Diceros bicornis minor: one gene and its partner. The protein of the gene in region 1 purifies or fractionates together with the protein of each later gene. This does not show direct contact. Links are inferred from orthologs where the notes say so. Each region holds a gene or a part of one and is shown on either strand. Other genes may lie near its edges. The genes, in order: GNB5 and GNG2.

What was found.
Region 2: the proteins of GNB5 (region 1) and GNG2 purify together in Homo sapiens (affinity purification with western blotting; 4 studies listed by BioGRID and IntAct, with this or other methods). This does not show direct contact. The link is inferred for Diceros bicornis minor from reciprocal best matches to the Homo sapiens genes GNB5 and GNG2.

Annotation. Positions count from the first base shown.
Region 1 is NC_080744.1:48,140,077-48,150,123, forward strand, and holds the start of GNB5 (guanine nucleotide-binding protein subunit beta-5), read right to left. Parts: upstream 4,304-10,047; 5' UTR 4,243-4,303; coding exon 4,131-4,242; intron 1-4,130. UniProt on the Homo sapiens protein: Enhances GTPase-activating protein (GAP) activity of regulator of G protein signaling (RGS) proteins, such as RGS7 and RGS9, hence involved in the termination of the signaling initiated by the G protein coupled receptors (GPCRs) by accelerating the GTP hydrolysis on the G-alpha subunits, thereby promoting their inactivation.
Region 2 is NC_080744.1:538,550-549,560, reverse strand, and holds the start of GNG2 (guanine nucleotide-binding protein G(I)/G(S)/G(O) subunit gamma-2), read left to right. Parts: upstream 1-6,107; 5' UTR 6,108-6,172; intron 6,173-6,215; exon of another isoform or gene 6,216-6,407; intron 6,408-11,011. UniProt on the Homo sapiens protein: Guanine nucleotide-binding proteins (G proteins) are involved as a modulator or transducer in various transmembrane signaling systems.

The DNA of each region.
Region 1 (10,047 bases):
ACTTTTCTTCCTTTTAAATGTAAATCTTAACTTGCTGAGATGTGGCCTGGCATGGTCAGAGGGAGAGCTGTACTAGGAGCCTGGAGTCTACTCCCCATTCTCCTTTACAGCGGCTGCATAACCTTAGGGAAATCTCCAAACCCTTCCTTGGATCTCAGCTGCTTCCTCATCCCACAGGAAAAGGGGTTGAGTTGTTGGGAAGAGAAGAAAACTTTTTGTGCCTGAAGACTGAGGCTGAGGCAGGTGGCCCTTTCCAGGTTTAAGACCTGTGTGATAGGCCCTCCAAAGATGTCCACATCTCAATCTCCGGAACCCGCAAATATGCTACCTTACAAAGCAAAGGGACTTTGCAGACGTGATTAAGTTAAGGATCTGGAGATGGAAAGATTATCCTGGATTTTTCAGACGGGCCCAATGTAATTACAAGGGTCCTTAGAGCAGGGAGGCAGGGGGATCAGAGTCAAAGAAGGAAAGGTGATGATGGAAATGAGGTTGGAGTGATGTGGGGCCATAAGCCAAGGAATGCAGCCTCCAGAAGCTGGAAAAGGCAAGGAATGAACTCTCCCTCAAAGCCTCCAGAAGGAATGCAGCCCTGCTGACCCATTTTAGACCTCTGACCTCCAGGACTGTAAGAGAATAAATTTATGTTGCTTTAAGCCACTATGCTTGTGGGAAGTCATACAACAGCAACAGGAAACTAACACAAGCTGCAACCTAGTGATTCTAAAATGCCTTAGAATCACGCAGGGGAGCACTTCCCCCTGGTGGAAGGTAAGCAGAAGGCGACAGGGGAAGTTTCCAGGGAGAAGCAGGAAGCGCTGGAGGAGTAGGGGGAAGGCAGGGGCAGGGCGCGGGGCTGGGCTGTGGAGTGGGACGTAGGCTGGCTTCCCTGTAGACCACCCGTCTAAGCCACTCCTGTATTGAATGTCAGCCAAGGGTCTGACTTCAGGATGAGGGCCCCACAGAATAGACGCTGGTCTGAGGGTCAAAGGGATGGGAGCTGAAGAAGTGGGGGTCTGGACTTGGGAAAATCTCACTTTTCCTCCAAGTGTATGCTCTACAATTTTGTTGTGTTGACTTTCTAAAGGCAAGACTTTGGGCAAGTCAGAGCTAACAGAAGGCTGACCAACTGTTCCAGTTTGCCCAGGACTGAGGGTTTCCCAGAATGTAGGACTTTCCATTTTAAAACCCAGAGTCCCGGGCAAACCGAGATGATGTAGTCACCTTAGCTTATGGCCTATAGAAGTTTCCTCGAATAGGGGAGGGGCTACAGGGCTGTCTATACGACAACACCGAAATGCATAAATGTGCAGTCTCGGGGAGAGGCTGAGAGACTGGAAGAGAGAAGAGCCCAGTGATCCTGGATCATGGACATCTCCGTGGGAGAGAGTGCAGTCAGAGGAGGGGCAGTTCTGAGTGCTAAGAAGATCCCAGGGGGCTGTGATGGAGTGAGGGGCCAGCGTGTTAGGAGGGTCACCTTTGTGGACCCTGAAGACACCGGGGATGGGGCAGGGCTTAGGGTCAAAAGGAAGGCTCAAGCCATGTGCCAAAGTCCTTAAGAAGTGAGGGAGCCTGGCTGGGAGGTCAGGAGACAGCAGCACACAGGGGGGAAGAGGTAGGTCAGCTGAATAATGGGAACTTCAAAGGAGCAAGGGTTTTACATGAGGGGAGGATAAGAGGGGATGGAGGAGAAGTGGTCCAGAAGCTGCAGGGGGAATAAAGGGGAACATGACCACATGACTTCCGGTCTTTTTTTTTTTTTTTTCTGGTGAGGAAGATTAGCCCTGAGCTAACATCTGTTGCCAATCCTCCTCTTTTTGCTGAGGAAGATTGGTCCTGGGCTAACATCCGTGCCCATCTTCCTCTACTCTTTATATATGGGACACCTGCCACCATGGCTTGATGAGTGGTGCATAGGTCCGTGCCCAGGATCCGAACCAGTGAACCCCGGGCCACAGAAGCAGAGAGCGCGAACTTGACCACTATGCCATCAGGCCGGCCCCAGGTCTTTTCAATTCAAAAGTTCTGACTTATGCAGGTGGGGATAGATCCTTCCACTGTGGGTCCAAAATTTGGCCCTGGCCTCTGAGGGCACTGCATCCTTGGCAGGAGAGGGGTTCCCTGTTGAAAAGCTGCATCTTGACAACCTCTCTGCCTTAAGGCAATTTACCAATTCACAGAAAAGGCTGAAAGACATCTGAGTGGGCAGCCTGCCACTGCTGAGTACGTGAGTTTCTGGAGAAGGCCCTCTGCATAGAGTACAATGGGCTCTGCAGAAAAGCTGACTTGAGGCTGGGCTGGAATCCTGGTCCCACCACTTACTAGCTGGGGTCCTCCGGCAAGTCGTTTCACCTCTCTGTACCTCAGTTTCCTCATCTGTAAAATGGAGAAATCAGACGGCCTACCTCAGAGGCACTAATGCCACGCTTACAGCATTGTCGTTATCAGCTGCAGAGAGTAGGAATTTGTAAAGGGAAATGGGGCGGACCCTGTCCCATGCCTCCCAATATCCATTACCTACTTCCTCCCTGAAATCCAGCTCTGTTTGGGGATGGCAATGTGCCCAGCTCCGTTCTCGCTTTCCCAGTCTCCATTGCAGTAGCCATGTGGCCCAGTTCTGGCTAATGAAGTGCAAACAGAAGTCTGTAAGGGACATTCTGGGGAAAACTTTTGCTTTCCTGACAAGAAGGAGAAATAGAGGTTGGTGTCCACATTCCGCCTTCTTCCTGCCCTGGATACAGAGGTGATGTCTTGAGCTGTGGCAGTCATATTATAATTATGGGGCAAATGCCACCGCTCTCAGGGTGGTGGAGAAGAAAGACAAGAGTGTGGGTCCCTGACGGCACATTGGACAGCTGAACCAGCGCTGGCAATCGCCTACCCTTGTTCTTGTTATGTAAGAAAAATAACTCTCAATCTGCTTAACTCCTTTATTTGGGATTTATAGTTAATTGTAGCTGGACACATTTCTAAATGACATAGGAGCTTAGTGTGCCTCCTATTTAGAGGAGGCCCCTATAAAAGCACAGCATACTCTAGATTAGGTCATCTGCTTCTTTCAAGTGATTTTCAAAGAAAGGAACCAGGTGGTAAGGGACCTAGCATGAACCCCATTTTTCTCTTTCAAACACAATTTAAAGGGGGTGGTACCAAGTAGGAGTGGCAGGAGCACAATGTACAGGTGTACCTGAGGGCACTACGGGGAGGCTGTGCTCGGAAAGGGGAGCCGCGAGCCTCAGAGCTGAAAAGTAAGCAGACAAGGCCACTTCCCCAAGCCTGGCCCGGACCGAAGCTCTGCTGAGGACGAACCGTCTGACAGGTCAAAGGGAAGCTGATCCCGCCAAGAGCTATTTAATCTGGCTTTTTAACTGTTCACTCTTAAAAATCACAGACCGGTTCTGAACTATGGTAGTGGTCAACAACGTAAATTTATTCAAGATTGCTATTGCTCTTTTATGCCAATCACACTGCATCCATCCAAAAAAGCTTCTTAAACAGCCTTCAATGAACTAAATGGTTAATTTGGTAAGCTCCTCGGCTTCCCTTCCCCCATCCGGTTCTGCAGCCACCAGGAGAGGGGGAGACTGGAAAAATTAGCTTTTAAAAAAAGAGTCTGATTCCTTGTAAAAGCAAAAGTGAGAAAAGACACGGCAGTGACGGAGAAAGCCAAATGATTAAAAAACAAAACAGGAGTCTACCCTAGGCCTCGCGCACACGGGCTCGCTGCGCTGGCCACCACTGCCACCCCCTCCACCCCGCCCCGCCTGGGAAGGGCAGGGATGGGATCAGTTTGCATCTTCCAGGAAAGTGGTGACAGTAACCGGTCCCACGATCCTTCGTCGGGAGGATAGAGGCCAGGGGCTGACACCACCGGGCTCCCCCGCCCAGAGGCGGGCGGGGGCTCTGCAAGGTGCCTGGAGCCTCCGAGGGCCGCCCAGCTCGGGCCCCACACCCCCCAGGCCGCTGCCCGCGCCTCACCTGGTGCCGGACACCGGGGCCCGCATCCCCGGAACGGCGCAGGCCTGGCCCCCGCCCCGGGCCCGGGCCGCCCCCTCCTCCGGGAGCCGGGCGCCTGTCTCGTTTCCTCGGCCCGCCTCCCGGCGCGCAGCCCCCGCCCCGCCCGCACTCACGCTCCACGTCGTGCAGCTTGGCCCGCTCCTCCTCCAGTTTGCCCTTGAGGCTCTCGGCCTCGCTCTTCAGCGACGCCAGCGTCTCGTTCTCGTGCAGCCCGTCGGTTGCCATCTTCGCGGGGGACGCGGCGGGGAGGGAAGCGGAGAGCCGGGCTGCGGTGAGCGGGCGACGGAGGCGCGGCCGGGGAGCGGGCGCAGCTCCAGCCGCCGTCTCTCGAGCGCGCCCCGCCCTCCGGCGCTGACGCGGCCGCCGCGAGCCGGCTGCGGCGGCCGATCCCCCCCCTCTGCGCCGGCCTCGCCCGCGCGCCCCGCGCCCCCCGCCCCGGCACCTCCTGCGCGCGCCCTGGCGCAGTACCCCGGGCCCTGCCCGCCTTAGCGCCGCTGCGCACACCACCCCGGAGAAGCACGGAGCGTCGTGCCCATTTCACCGCTGGGAAAACCGAGGCTCAGAGATGATCCGTGATTTGCCAGGAAGATGCTAACGTAGTGAAGGGCCAAACTGGGATTCCAACCCAGGGCTGCCTGGCCCCTGGGAGTCTGGTGAAGTCCCAGTGACACAGTCCCCCCCGCCCCCGCCGCCGGGGACTTGATTCCCTGCCAGTGGCTTCTACCTGCAGAGAGTGGACGAGAGAGGAGAGGGCAACGACACCCGGCCCGATCCCGGGTGCTCCCCCGACATCGAACCGGAAACTTTCCTCCTTGGTTGACTTAAATATACAAAAATAAAACTAGTTCCGGCTTCCGAGAAGCTCTGGGGTCTTTGTGGCATTAGGAGGCCTGCTCTTGGTTTTTGCTTTTCTTTTCTTCACTCGGGAATTAAGTCCCTGGCTGGGTGAGGGGTGCACAGGGGACCAGACCCGGGGCTTCCAAGCCCACGTCCAGAGATCTCGGACGTGTCACTGGTGAGGCAGCGTCCCCCACCTTAGAATGAAGGGCGGCTGCAGTTCTCTCAAGGACACAAATGTGGTGACTGACGGCAGACTCAAGCATCCCCTCTTCCAGTCCCCTGCGGGGCCAGGCACTGTTCCCAGTGCTTTACATTAACTCCTTTAATCCTCACAACTGTCACCCTCAATGGGTACTGTTATCATCTCCATTTTACAGATGAGGAAACTGAGGCACAGAAAGATTAAATGATTTAATCCGTTCACACTCCCAGAAAGAGGCAAAGGGAGGATTTGGACCCAGGCTTTCTGGCTCCATTCGGCTCCATGCCTCCGGACTTCGTCGTGGAGGACCCAACCCATGGCTTCTCCCTCCTCCCAGCTCCATGACCTGGCACGCGTGTGTTTCTCTACAGAATGGGAAGGCAGATCGAGGTTACAAATGCTTAAGTGAACGTCTCCACGCAGACTCTTGGGTGCTATCCCCACCCTCTTTGTACCCCTTCTTCTTGAGGAATCCAGCCTTGACATGTCGTAGGCCCTCTCTATCTAAGAAAAGTTGGAAGTAATCTATATTAGTCTACACATAGTTGTCTGGGAGGTTAGATTCTGAGCTCCTCAGTTTCCCCATCTAGAAAATCTACTTCATGGCGTCTACCTCACAGGGCTGTTATGAGAATTAAATCAGATGATATGCGTGAACCTCTTAGCCAACTGCTCCATCGCAGCAGATGCTTATTAACTGCCAGTTCCCTTCTCCCCACCCATCAATAAGGTTTATTCATCATTTATCCTCAGTGTTTAGCCTAATGACTGGTATATAGCAGGTGCTCAGTTAATGTTAGTTTATTCAATGGATGTATAAAACAAAATATGTAAATATATATGAAATATATAATTAAAAATAAAACATATAAAATGAGATACAAAATATATAAATGTTCTAGATACATTCAACCATTTACAAAAGCAAAAACATTAGATCTGTTTCAGAGTTGGTAGAGCAAAAGGTTAAGAGCATCGGCTCTATCTAGATCAGACTGCCTGGGGGCAAATCCTGGCTGTGCTGTGTGGGCTTGAGTGATTTACTTAACTTCTCTGTGTCTCAGGCTCCTCATCTGTAAATGGAGATAACACCTTCCTCACAGGGTCCTTGTCAAGAGTGACTACGTAGCGCATTCAGAGCAATGCATGGCACACAGTATGTGCTCGCTATTATTATTAAGGCTACCTGATACACTTGAGCAATTCACATGAAGTCATTGAAATGAGACACTAGGTCACGGGGAACGCTTCTCACAGGGTCATCTCAGAAGGCCCAGGCAAAGCAGCATCCTCTCCCCCTCTCCTCAGGCTGACACGTCTTGGACCATCATGGGGTGTGTATGCCTGCCTCGGGGTCTACCTGTCTCTGAAGACCTGGGGTGAGTGGAGTGTCACACTGCTGTGTGCCCTCCTCTGGAGGTTCTCTGTGTAAAATAAACCCCAAACACCCTCCCATCTGGAGAGTCTACCATCTAGAGATGAGGCCATGTAACTTTTTAATGGCTGGAAAAGTTTGCAAAGTGCCTTCCTGTACTTTGGCGTTCACTACTTTTCATAAGTGAGGAAGCTGGAGATCAGAAAAGGTGATTTCAGGGGTGGTGGAGGTACAGGGTTGCCCCTACTCACGAAAAGGGTCCCCTGGGGGCTGTGTCTACACAATCCCAAGCACCTGGATAAAAGGTCAGCTGTCCGTCATTTGGATGTCTCCTCAGCCAAAGACGTCTGTCTGAATATTTGGGAAGTGCTGTGGTGGAGATAGCCGGCAACAGTCCCCTGAAGAGTATCTCCAGGCAGGGCCTCTGACCTGCTGAGAATCTATGATGCCTCAGAGGACCCCATGTCTGGCATTCTGGGCTCCTGCTGTCCACACAGGAAGTTGTTTAAAAAACAGAAGAGCTAGATTAATAACTAGCACTGCTCCAGGATGGTAGGGCCACCAAAAAGCAGATTTATTTTAAGAACTGAATGTCCTCAGTTTGAGAATTTGCAGAACCAAGTTTAGAACATAATGTGCTGCAGGTAGAAGCCCGTTCCCTGAGCCTGAATCCTGAGACCTCAGGATTACTATTCTGTACCTCTGTGATTACTAGCCTGTGTGTCACCCTGTCCTGTCTACCTGCCATTTGTTTTATGGGAATAACGTTTTAAAATGTAATCACTGTCAGGGGTTACAATGGGACCAGGAGGATGAATATTGCCTTTCCTCTTCAGTTGAATAAAATGTAAATGTCATCTTTCCTCCCTTTGATATGTATTTTTTTAATGTGTTGATAATTGGGGATTTCCTATTGGGCTATTGGGGAAGAGTGCTTTACTGCTTTTGACCAGGTGGAGGCTCCACTCAGCTGCGCTACTGAGCACTGCTTTGCACATCCTCTGAGATAGGACTAATAATTCCTAGGGCTTCAGCCATGCTGTGGCCCTTTTTGCTGCTAGATCTGAAGACTGTGCATAGCCTGTTGAGGACTGATTTGTGTACTTTGACAAATGCCAGAATTTGTGTCCTGTCCCTAGCCCTCGCTGAAGGCTTAGGCCCAAGGAGCACTTTTCCCTGAGCTTAATTTTGCTCGCTACTGAGGCCCTGTCTGGTTGGATCTTGAATAGAGCTGTTCCTAGGGACAGCTGGCACAGGACCACTGGAAAGGTGCTCCCAGGCTATTTATTTCTCAGAGTCCCTTTTAGCTTGGTTGCTTGCCAAGCAGACTAGTAGAAGACAGAAGAAAAAAGCATTAGCGCTAAAAAATAATAATAGCTAAAACATTCATTGAGCACTTCCTGTGCACCATACTGTTTTAAACACTTTATCAAATGAACTCATTTGATCCTCACAAAACCCTGTGAGATAGATGCTGTTTTTCCTCTTTTACAGATGGGAATACAGATCTCTTGAGAGAGGCAAGATCTGTTGGCATACCATCACCTAACAACATAACTAGGATTTGAACTTAGGCGATCAGAGACCAGAGTCCACACCCTAAACCCGCATGGTCTGCTGGCCCACCTAGCCCAGGTGTGCTGAAAATGTTTGTGTGTAAACTGATTCTACGGCAACTCGTCTGTCACAGGACCCTCACCTTAGATATCGTTGTAAGACAGGTAACTACTTAAATTTTTAAAAAGTGGCACTTACAATTTCTGCACATATTGAACAGTAGCTGAACTGCTGAGATTTCTTGAAAACCGATCTCAGAGCCCTTTGTTTGAAACATTTGTCACAGGAGCCAAATACATTAACTAGAAAGGTCTGATCACACATCTTTTACCCAAGATGAAGCTGCAAGAGAAAGGGAGAGAGAAAAAAAAGGTATGTGTGAGAGAGAAAAGCCAACAGAAACAGCTTTGTAAAACCTCATCTTCCTTTATCACGTAGTTACTCCAACTCCTACATGTGGGATAAAGAATATATGGTTAATTTGTAACCTGTGATTTATTATAACATGCTAGGTCAACCCCAACTCACTTATTTAATCAGTAAGAAAGAGTCAGACAGTAGGTTTTCTGAACTCATGTTTAACCGGTTTTTGGCAGCTTGCAGACTCGGTCACAATTGATCTTTGCAGCACAATATTAATCCCGTGGGGCTTCACAGTGGACAGTGTCATTGTAATGGATACTATAATTTAAAACTTAAAAAAAAAAATTCCTCCTCTCAGGGTGAATTTTGGAGTAAAAACAAGAGCCAGAAAATAGTGGAGCCTGACCCCGACCAATGCCACGAGGCCAGGTAAATGCGGTGTTGGTTCCCTGCAAGGAACGCATCCCGTTTATTAAACATTTAACAGCCATACACCCAGAGTCCCTGCCTGTCCACCCAGAAGTCAACAGACAGGCCCAGGCCACAGAAGGGAGCGCAAACTTGAGGAAGCAAAACCATCTAGTGGAGAAGGGTACTGGCTCTGGCTGACTGGGTCCGGGTCGCGCTGCTTAGGCAGGTTACTCGACCTCTTTGAATCTTTGTTTGCTAATCTATCAAATGAGGATCTTAAAACCTACCATCATAGGGTTGTCAGGCGAATTATGAGAGAGAGTGCGTAGAGCACTTAGGTCAAGGCCGGAATATACTGAATGCTCCATAGATGTTATGCTGCCCTGTGAGTGGCTGCCACAGCAGCAGCAGGAAGGAGGGGAGGGAAGGGGGATGAGGCCAGAGATGCAGCAAGAGCAGAGAAGAGCCTATGGCCACAGGTCAGGCAAGACACAATGAAGGCCTGAACTAAAGCAACGCTGTGGGATGGATTTGGACCACACTTATGAAGGAGGAGGAGGAGCTGGACTTGGCGACATGCGGGAACGAGGGGACAGAGATGTCTATGTCTCCTAGATTTCTGTTTGGGAGGCTGAGGGGCTGTGGTGCGACTGCTAGAGATGGAGGACGAGGAGGTTTAGGTGGGAGGGAGAAGACTTTGTAGCCGTACCAATTTAATAGGCGTTCCAAAGAGCGGGCCCTGTCAAGGTTCAAAGAAATGACCCTCTGAGTTTTTTTGGAGCGCTGGTCTGAATATTTCAACAGAGCCAAATTTGAAAGGGATGTATTTGTGGAGGAGAGGGCAGTGGGGACACCTCTGAGAGGGAATGTCCACACTGCAGAGGTCACCGTGGAGCTGGAGAGAGAATGGGGAGCTCATGAACTGGGTTGAACTCCTACAGCAAAGGGGCAGCTGGCATAGTTCTTGAGATCACTAGGTGACAAAGGAGTAGAGGGCAGTCCTTTAGGCATGAGAGATCAGAAGGGAACCAGCTACTGACCACCGTGGAGCGCTCGGCCCTGAACTCTCACAGCCACCCTGGCAGCGGGGAGGCAGGACATCTGTGTTACTGCTGAGGAAAAGTCGAGGGATTAAACAACTAGTTCAAGGTCGGCGGTGGAGCCTGAACCTGTAGGTAGCGAAACTCAGCAACCCTTACTGTGGAGCAGCACGATCAAGTTGCTCAGCTTTGTCCCAGCAAGCGAGTTAACCAGCACAAAAGGGCCTGCGCACAGAGCCCGG
Region 2 (11,011 bases), about 48 Mb from region 1:
TTTTGTAAAACGTATGTTTCCGTATTTTCAAAGGGGTCAGTCAGCAGGACTGACGACTCTCTTCCAAGAGGCCTAGCTGTTCAGATTCACTTAAAGTTAACAGACGGCTTCTGAGCACACACAACCTGCGAAGCGCCCGGTGCCCGGTGCAGAATACCCGGAGAGGGAGGCACGGCCCTCGCCTCGGGCACTCAGTCCAGTGTGAGACTCCAGTGGACTCTGGCAGAGAGACAGATTCCCCACCCAGCACTCAACAGCGCAACTCCCTCCTCGACTCCTGTGGTTCTGTTTCAGAAATTCTATTATAGGAAAACCTTAAAACTTAGGGAGAAAGCAGAGCTGGGAGACCCAGGTCAGAAGCAAACCTGCGAATCCTCTTCACTGAGGGAAGTCAACAGACACAGAAACGAGCACCCCAGAGCCCTGTTTCCCCTCTGCAGCCTTTGCCATCCTATTTACTGTTGGAGTAGATTGCCCTGTCCGTCCTCACACTCGGCACAGAAAAACCAAGTCTTGCCTTTCCACCTTGCCTGCAAATTATTGGAGTTATTATTGTATAGCTTTTCTTTCAGACACTTCAAAATGCCTTACTCTGTGTTGTTCATCTACTAGTTCGCATCCTTCAATCCTGACGGCCCTTTCGGAGGACTCTCCCAGGCTTCGCTCTGCGCCGTGTTCTCGCCTCGGTCAGGCTCTGGCTGACGGCCTCTTCCTCATCTCGTTGCCCGCTTCCTGATCTTCTGTGTGGGTCTTCAGAGACTTTTTAGAGGGGACAAGTCGTATTTTGCAGAATTGCTGTTTCTGTTTTTGTGGTAATAATGCATTCGGTTTACACTCTCGCATCACCCTAGTCGGCAGTCTGGCTCCCGCTCCTGCTGGAGGAAGGTTTGGAATGATTTCTGCTCACGGGATGACACAAGCTTCAGACTCGGGGCAGGCAGTGTCCACTCTGGAAGTGTCCAGCCTTTGTTCCCACTTAACTGGCCACACTACCCCTGCACACAGCTGCTTGGCTTCACGTGTGCAGGCCTCCATGGTTCTTTCTGACCTACTTCCAGCTCTGGCTCTGTCTCCCTCCCCATCTCCATGCCCAGTGTGGTCTTCAGGAGACCTCGTGCCCCACCGTGAGCCCTCTTCCAGCCCCTTAGCCTCCCTCTACCCTTGGCCTCCGAACCCCACCCCCCCATCAACACTGTGCTTGTTCTCTCGTGAGGTGTTAGGAAAGCAAGTTTCTTGAACTCCATCACTCAACCTCCCCAGGGCTTCACGTATGTAATACACACATGCATACATTTCGGCTAACAACCCAAATAAGTTCAATTTTGGTGACATTTCAGGCAATATTGGAGAAGAACCTGGGGGCCTCATACTATTCTGTGAATCCCCTGGTTGGCCCTGCCTGGGGCAAAGGGAAAGGAGAATCAAGCCCCTCCCACTTTGCCTTCCAGATGGACCGAGAGGTGGCCATCACTCTGCAAACCCCTGTCCTACCAGCTCTTGTGTTGGGCTCTGAGACAGGGACTGGCGTTTTGAGAGGTTCAGCCACCATCTCGCGAGAAAGATTAGTTCTGCCCACCCAGCCCTGACTCTCTTTACACCCAATATGATTCAGCCTTCATGGCTCCTAACGGCTGGGGGTGGGCTCAGGTGTCTGGGGGAGGGAACGACCTGTGACACACAGATCAGATCAAGATTATGCCTTTTTTGGACAAAGTCTTTAGAGAGACTTCTATTCTCTTTAGTTGATCCAAGAAATGCCTGGAAATCTGGTTTTTCCGTGGTAAAAGAATACCTCAATGATTCATTTTTTTAACCTTGATTACTCTTTGGCACAACAATTAAGCAAGTTATTAAATGTATCGTGAATGTCTGTGAGCAGGCAAGACTTATTAATCCATGAATTCACCTTCTTATCCCCATTTTGCTCTTCCCTGTTCACCACAGTCCACACATGCACTCAAGGAGGTGTTGCTGGTATGGTTTATGGCTCCTGATACAAAGTAAGGAAGGACAGAGCGAGAACAAAGCTGAGACATGTAGGGAGGACTTGGCCAGAGAAGAGAAGTCCATCCAAGTAGTAAAGAGCCAGCTGGGCATGGCCGGGACACACACACACGCACACACACACGCACACACACACGACAATACTGCAAAGAGAGTATAGGAAGAGTTTGAGGATTTGGCTCGGGGGCATCTGTAAGGTGGCGAGAACTGGAGAGGGCAGGAGGGAACATGAACAGTGTTTCTGGCTCATAAATTAGTCCCTTTAAAGTTCATCCAGAAATGCAAGTACAGAATAGCTTTCTTTCCTTTTTTCTATTTCCTTTTATTTTCTAAATTGCTTTGTTGCCTGACCGTGCTTCTCTGTAAGCAGTTCAGTGTGGAAACGGAACCAGCTCTTGCCCCAGGATTCTCTAAGGTCACCTATATGACAAACACTCAGAATGTGGTACGTGTGCACCAGGGTTTTCTGCAGACAATTTGCAAAAAATAAAGGAATTATTATTTCTTATCCCATGACCAACTTCTCATATCAGAAACTTCCCTTTTTCCTCCTTCCCAGGCAACCAAAGGAACACAAAAGCGGTTTTGGAATTTCTGCCCATATAGCCTTTTCATTATACAAACATCTGTTAGCTACCTGCTGTTTAACAAGCAAAGATGAACAGAACAAATCTCCAACCTTGTGAAGGGGCTCAAATAGTGAGTGGTGAGTGAGGTGGACATATAACAACTCATGAAACAATGCAGCTGGTGCCCAAGTGGACATGAGGCAGGGTGCCACGCACTCACAGAGCAAGAGACAGAGGCTCAGCTGGCGAGGTCAGGGAAGGCTTCTGAGAGAGAAGAGTCTGAAAGGATAAGTTGGGGTCACCAACTGACAAAATGGAGGAAGGAATAAGCACATTTCTGGCAAAAAAAAAGAGCATGTGCCAAGATGCAGAGGAGAAAAGAGCATGGCCCCGTGGGAACCTGCCACGAAGACGGGTGTGGAGTGAGTGGACGTGGGGTTGCCACAGGTTAGATACTAAAGTTAGAGTGTAGTTGGGCGACATTATGGAAGGCCTTGTAAGCAATGGGAGGGGAGATACTGAAAAATTACACACGGCAGTGACATGCTCAACTCTTCATCTTAGAAATGTACTTCTGTGGGCGTGGCTTAGAAGAGAGCTAGGAGGCAGGAGGACCAAGTAGGGAGTATTGCAGTCATACAGGGAAAACCCAGGAATCTATTAATCAGACAGTGGCCAGGGCAATAGGGAGGAGTGGTGTGGTCAAAGAGAGAGTCTGGTGGTGGGAATGGAGGGATGAGGAAATTTAAACCAGACCTGGGGTAACAAAGACAAATGGTTCTGATATTACTCTTACATTCCTGCTGTGGGCAACTGGTTTGTATTCCTCATTAAATGGAATGGAGAAGAGAGAAAGGAGAACAGCTTTGGATGAGGTAATCTCCATAATTTGGGGAATGTTAGTGTTAAAGAACTCCAAGGAACTTCAGCTAGAACGCTCAGGAATGCAGGAGAGCTGTCAGGCCAAGACGATGGCCTCCTTGTTACCATCAGCCTCCTAACCAGGTAGATGCAAGAACTACAGGGTATCAATGCCTACAAACAGGCTACCGATGAACAGGCTTTGTTTTCTGTGTTGATAAAATGTGTCTGGGGTAGGCTCATACTCAGTTACTGACGGCACGAACTGCTCACGGTGAGATGCAACTGTACCTCCTAAGAAATGCACACTTGGTAGGCGTACTTACCACACTTGTGTTAAGAGCTCTGAACTGGAGTAATCTTCTCTCTTACTGAATCTATACCACACATTTTTCTTTTCTCTCCAGAAAAAGAGGCTATTAGGACCAGAAAGCAAGGAGGTTAATGACAGCAAGAGAAAGATCTTAAAATCTAGTTTTCAGCTTTGGGGAGAGGATGGTTGGCACTTCCCAGCAATGGCCAGGTTAACCTACTGAGAGTTTTATAAGGGCCAGAGAGGGAAGAACCCATCAGACGGCAGCAGGACAAATTCCTAGAGACTTTGTTGTCTGAAAGAGATTTTCCTATACAGACATAAAGATAAGTACCAACCACTTTCTGATGGTTTGGAGAAACTGTGAGAAGGGGAGAGAGAGAGAGAGGACTTATTTAAGTCCCTTAAGACAAATAAATCTTAAAAAAAAAAAATACTTATTTGAATCCAGAGTTAACGTCAGAAGCCACTAGTCTAAAATTAACCAAAGATTTGTTTCCATAATCTTCCAACCATTAATAACTGTGCTTCTCATTTTTCTTAGACTTAGTATCATATACATCTAAATTTTTGTTTAAAAGCTCCTAGTAACCGTTGGCACCAAGATTCCTGATTTAGAGGAAATTCACGTCTGATTTTCACTGGGTTGCAGGAGGCTGTGGGAATCTATGTCCAATCCTCTTCCGCTGCTACAATTCTATCTGCTGGTGGCTCAGAAGTTTTAGTTTCTCATTTTTAATCTTAAAACAATCCAAATTTTCCGATGTTCCTTTTTGATAAAAGATTTCCAGGAAGAAATAAGCAAACTCTGTTCATGGAACATCAAATCAAAACAAAGAGTATCCTGGGGCTGTCAGAACATTTCATAGAAATCAAGTTCTGTGCCCTCCAGGCTGATGTGCTGTGGTCCCCTAGGTGGGTTAGGAAGGCTCAGCTGGCTTCTTCCCTGAGTGTCCAGGTAACCTGCGTCAGCCCTGCATTTCCATTTCCTGTTGGTTTACTTGCTGGAGGATTTAAGATTAACTTTCCAGGCACGGAATCCTGAGGAGAGGTTTCTTAGCAGCGTTGCCTGGACACAGAAGAAGGATTCCCCCGCCCCCAGCCTGTGTTTAATCTGTAGCTGCCCCAAAGCACCTGTGTTGGTCGGGAGAGAATGACTTACAAGCTGAATGAATCGTCACCAAGAGCATCTGCGTTAGTCATGGATACGTTAACTAAGGGGGGTCGGGAACCAAATACTGATCCTGCTTTGGCTGCTGATGCCGACGTCACCGGCCATCTCTGAGCTTCCACATCCTCTAAAAATAACGAGCTAATACACACGAACACTTCCTATGTTATCATTTTGTGTGCCATCTCATTTAATCCTCAGATTTCTGCTGAGGGTCTGACTATACTCATCTCCATTTTGCAGATGAGGAAATTGAGGCATGTAAAAGTTAAATAATTTGCCCAAGTTCATACAGTTTGGATTCAAATCGGGTGAACAGACTGCCTGCAGGCTTTGCCCTCATCCATGACACTACTAAAGCAAGGATCCTGAGGGTCCTTTCAGCCCTACGGTGCGGGGAAGGGGTTATTTCTGGGCTGGGACTCGTGGCATTCAGCCCCATCTTGTTCCTTCCCACCACGGAGAATCTTCTGGGAATATGTCTTCATATGAGGCCACAGGTAGCAGAGCAAGACTTGGTGTAGTTCCTGTCCCCACAAGAATACTTATCGGGGCCACTCTTTTCTGAGCATGTGGGTTAACGCAGATCTCAGTGGCAGTGGGACCTTGGAGAAATTAAGTGTCTGGAATGTTGGCCACAGAAAAAGGCTGCAGCTAGAAGCTGCAGGCGGCCAGCTCCCAGCCAGCCGTCCTGATAGGGACCCTAGGAAATCAGGAGGAGTCATGGAGGCTGGCGCCGGATTTCAGGGCCACAACTGGCCAGGGGCTGTTGACCCAAAAAAGACAGCAGAGGCAGCAGCAAGAAGCAGCCAAGTGCAGGCTGAGAGAGCAGACTGCGTGCGGGCGCGGGGCGAGGGGGCGGCTGCTGGACGCTGCTGTGGAGGAGAGGGTGAGGGGGAAGGGGAGGAAGAGCGGCGGCCCAGAGCGAACAAAGGGATGGCGACCCTCGGCGCCTCGCGTCAGGCGCCCGGGGGGGCGAAGCCGGGGCCGCCGAGCAGCCCCGAGGCGGCGTGAGACGGCGCGAAGAAGGCGGCTCAGAGCGGCCGAGAAGGAGGAAGTGGGAGACGCGCAGCTTCCTGCGGGGAGAAGCTCGCCGAGGACAAAGCCGGGCGGGGACCGGCGCCGCCGCACGCGCCGGCGGGCAGCGCCCCCTGCGCTGGGCGGGCCGGGCGCGCGCGCGGGCGGGCGGGGCGGCTGCGCGAGCGGCGGCGCAGATCGGCGCGCAGCCGCCTCCCCGGACCGGCGCCGGCTGAGGTAAGGGACGCGCTCTCGTGCGGCTCCTCGGGAAGCGCCCAACCTGGCCGTCGCCTGTGGGTTTCGGGGCGGATTTCCGAGGGGAGACGGGGGCGCCGCTTCAGGATCGGGGGCATGATGGGGATGGCTTCTTCCAGGAGGGCTTGCTAGGACGGCTGCGTTTGTGACACAGCTGCTTTAAGAAAACCGTCATGAGCACTCGGCTCTGGTGACTCGTCAGGGAAGCGCACGGCGTGTAAGCAGCTGCTCGCCTCGTTCTCTGGGCGGAGAAGCGGGCCGAGGGGAAGCGGGTCGGGGCTGTGGGGCTGTGGGGCGATCATCTGCGCCTTTCAGGGTGTCAACTGCTCATTGCATTATCTTTCTGACATAGTGCCCTGGGGCGGCTTCTGTTTTGCAGCAAAATGACTGTGACTTGGCTTTTTTGTTGCTGTTTTCAAATCCTTTTGTGCTCAGAATTTGCCAACAAAGGCTGGAATTGCTATGTGAGGGGCAGTATTTACCATTAAGAAACGGTGTCCTCCCTCGGCTCTGCAGCCGCTCTCTGATCACCTCGGAAACAGCTACCGTTTCCAGTAGGTCTTTTCCGAAAGTTGCATCCTTTCTCAGAGGAGTGTGGCGGGTTTAACTTGTCTAGAGCGAGACATCGGTGTGTGTGGCTTTTGTGTTGATATGGATTTTATTCATCTTTAGGTCAAGATGCATGCTAACTCAGTGCGGGAAAAACGCAGGAGCGGCTGAGTCTTTTCCTCACCTGGATGCACTGTAGACAGACAGGAATAGTCAGATCAGAACGTGATTTTTATTCTTTCATTTTCGTGAGCAATGAGTCCTCTTAATGAGAGTTTGTGACCGTGACTTGTTCATATTTATGAACGACATGTAGAAGAGCAATAAATAGGTCTAACGGATTAGAAATGAGATTGAGCTTCCTTTGGCAGGGTGTGTGGGAGAAAGAGTTTAATACTCTAGCATAGCGTGATTTTAAAAATGAGGCTTTGTCTCTGACGGAAAGTGTGGCTAAGCAATAAATGGTCATTGATCGAAGGTTTTTTCTTGAGTTTTTAGAATGAAAGGAGATAAATTTTCAAAAGAAAGAAAGAAAAAACTGCTTATAGTGGAGTAAAAATAATAAAAAGGTCATATTTAGACATTCATAAATTCTTAAAATACAGGTTTTTAAACGTTAAATATGCCATTGAGAGTGTATATGCCTCCTCATTGATTACATTCTCAATTGTGAAGAGCTATAGGGGTTTTTTTAACGTCATTTTTATGAAATTGATTTTGGCTTCTCCAAATTTGTGCTGTAGCAGCACATTTTCAGAGGTAAGAATCTTTAGGTACTAAAGAAAAAAAGTCTGCTTTTCTGAGATCACGTACTAAATTAAACCTGTACCATGTCTAAGAGGCAAAATATCGCTGGTGTGGAAACCACAGAGCTCCCCCAACACACACGCTCAGTTTAATCAGACCTGTGGGCAAAACCAGTCCTCCACACACAGCTCAGTTCCGCTTTCCATTTGCCTCCTAAAGGGAAATACGAAAGATAATACTCCCGGACAGGAGGTCTAGGGTGGATCTCGGGTCCAGGACGCCCCTGACTGGAGTGCTATGATCAAGCTGCCTGTCACAGACTGAGGAGGAAAGTCGTAAATCCGGGCTATAAGAATGAGGCCGGGGCTCACCTCGGAGCTGCTCATCTGAGGCTGCGTTCACGAGATAACGCCAACACCCTGCTTTGTCTGGGAGTGTGTAGACAATCTGCCTTCCTCCGAGTGTTTCATACCAGAGTAAGAAAACGAAACCCGGGCCCAGGAGAGTCGGGGCCCCAGCCCTCTTTCAGAAATCACCTAAGAGGTGCCTATCTTCTGCGCAGCCCAAAACATTTCCTTAATTGTTAAATACCAGCTTGAAGCACATTAGCGAGTGACAGCAGATCAGTAACTATGATGGTGGAAGGTTTGGGAAGAAGAGGAATATGCTTCTATGCTGTAAAATGAGACCATTTCCACTTATTCTGGCCATATGGAACACTGACAGACATAATGCTTTTGCCCAGGGTGTTCAGTGGCTTTTGAGGGAGTGCAACAACACTGAAATTTTAATTGTATGTGTTTTTCGGCCATATGGCCAGTGTCTGGGTGGAAACATGAGTCCATTGTTTGGTGGCCAGCCCCGGCCTCAGACAGCGAGCACGCAGTGAGTGTGTTTGGTTGACTGGTCTTTCAGCCTACTTCAGAAGGCGGGCCCAGCTTTGAAGTGTAAAGGCTCTGTAGTCAAAGCAGAAAACCTGTTCCAAAGGATGGCTGTGTGTGGAAGAAAAGAACACCATGGGGTGAGAAGAACGCAGGCCTCCAGCGTTGCGAGCCTCCGGCAGGTCTGCCTTGAACCCGACCTCTGGTTCTGACCCCTCGCCCTGGTACGTTAACTTAGGAGGGTCAGTTTCTTCATTGGGAAGAGGGGTTAACAGCACACAGTCAAGGTTTGTGGGGATTTTTGTTTGGTTGTTTTTTGGTTTTGTCGTGTTTATTTTGGTTTTGCTCTTGCGTGTGGGTATGTGAGCGCCTGGTACACAGCAGGTTCTCAGATGCCTTCTCCTTCCTGGGTAGCATAAGGAAAAGTGAGCGTTTTCTTGACCTTGGCCACCACCTCAAAGGTTCCAGGAGACAGTTTTTTTTTATTGTAGTAAAATACATGTAACACAAAATTTCCCATTTTAACCATTTTTAAGTGCGCCATTCTGTGGCATTAAGTATATTCACGTTGTTGTGCAACCATCACCACCATCCATCTCCAGATCTTTTTCATCTTCTTGAACTAAAACTCTGTTCCCATTAAACACTAATTCCCCATTCCCTCCTCCTCCTAGTCCCTGGAACCCAGCATTCTACCTTCTGTCTCTGATTTTGACTACTCTAAGGACCTCATATAGGTGGAATCATGCAGTATTGTCTTTTTGTGATCAACAATTCACTTAGTATAATGTCTTCAAGATTCATCCATGTTGTAGCATGTGTCAGAATTTCCTTCCTTTTTTAGCTGGCTAATATTCCATTGTTTGTATAGACCACATTTTGTTTATTCATTCTTCTATCGATGGACACTTGGGTTGCTTCCACATTTCAGTTACTGTGAATAATGCTGCTGTGAACATGGGTGTACAAATATCTGTTGGAGTCCCTGCTTTCACTTCTTTTTGGGTACCCAGAAGTGGAATTGCTGGATCGTATGGTAATTCTATGCTTAATTTTTTGAGGAACTGCCATACTGTTTTCCATAGCAGCTGCACCATTTTACATTCCCACCAGCAGTGCACAAGGGTTCCAATTTCTCCTCATTGTCACCAACACTTGTTATTTCCTGGGGTTGGTTGGTTATTTGTGACAACAGCCATCCTAATGGGTGTGAATTGGTATTTCTGTGTGGTTTTCATTTGCATTTCCCTAAGGATTGGTGATGTTGAGGGTCTTTTCATGAGCCTATAGGCCTTTTGTATGTCTTCTTTAGAGAGATGTCTATTCAAGCCCTTTGCCCGTTTTTTAATTGGGTTGTTTTCGAGGAGACTTTTTTAAATAGTGGGATCTCTTAACATAGTGCGTGATAAAGATCAAGATGACAATGTTTGTGTTTAATCTCCTGTGGACACCAGTATTCTCCCCGCCCAAGTAAAAGACTTGTCTCAAAAGCAACTTTTAAAATCAAAAGGAGAAAATAAGAAAATCTGCATAGCTCCTGATAATTGGTGATATTGTGAACCTGATAGTGAAATTCAAACCCTTGTTGTGGACAGTCACGCCAGTGACCCTGCTGGTCCAGTGTGGACTGGGCTGCTACAAAGGATGCACTGGGGGGCTGTGTCTTTCTCGTCTCCGCTCATTAGCTGGATGAGAAAAAATGCCCACTGGGTAGCAGGGTCAGAAAAAGGGAGGAGAAACTAAAGCACTAAATTGTTCTCAAATTCTTTATAATGAGAGGGTTGGCCTGTGGAGTTCAACCACGCAGATTTCTGAGAGAAGTTTCTGTTAACAAAATGTGAGTCTAATCTAAACTTCACTGTGAAAAAAAGAATCCTTCTGTTTCATTTTCCACTACCGATTTCACTCCAGATTTTGCAACCAGTGAGGCAAAGTGTGGATGGGCTGAGGAGAGCTGGGCAGGATGATTGCGGGGACTCTATTGAGCAGCGACAACATCTGAGATTTGTGTTCTGGTGCAAACGTTGGCCTGAGTGGAGCTCCTAGGTGATTGCATGATGATTTGTGTAATGCACTCTGTGTGTGTTGGGGAGTTGGATAACGACCCCCCACTTTGTTTGATTTGTAAATCTATTCATTCTACAATTCCTGGGAGGACCCATGATGGCTTTACTAGATCCAGGTGGGAGAGGGGGTCACAGAGCTGTGTTAAGACTGAGTTGCTGGCCTGTGACATTGTGGGATGGTAGAGCTGAAAATGACCTGGGGAAGAACCCAGCCTGTGTCAACGCCTCCAGGACGGATGGTAAAGTAGGCTCGGGATTTAAGTTCCCTTTCTAGAGTCGCACTGTTCATCGACACCTCACCTCCCTTCTAGCAGGGCAAATGGATGGAGAAAGTCTATATACTTCACCACTTTTTAAATTGTTGGTAAGACCAAATTATTTTGTTTAAAAAGAAGAGGGTGGGGGCCGGCCCAGTGGTGCAGCGGTTAAGCTCACGTGTTCCGCTTTGGCGGCCTGAGGTTCGTTTGTTCGGATCCCGGATGCGGACCTACGCACCGCTCATCAAGCCATGCTGAGGTGGCATCCCATATAGAAGAGCTACAACTCTACAACTATGATACACAATGATGTACTGGGGC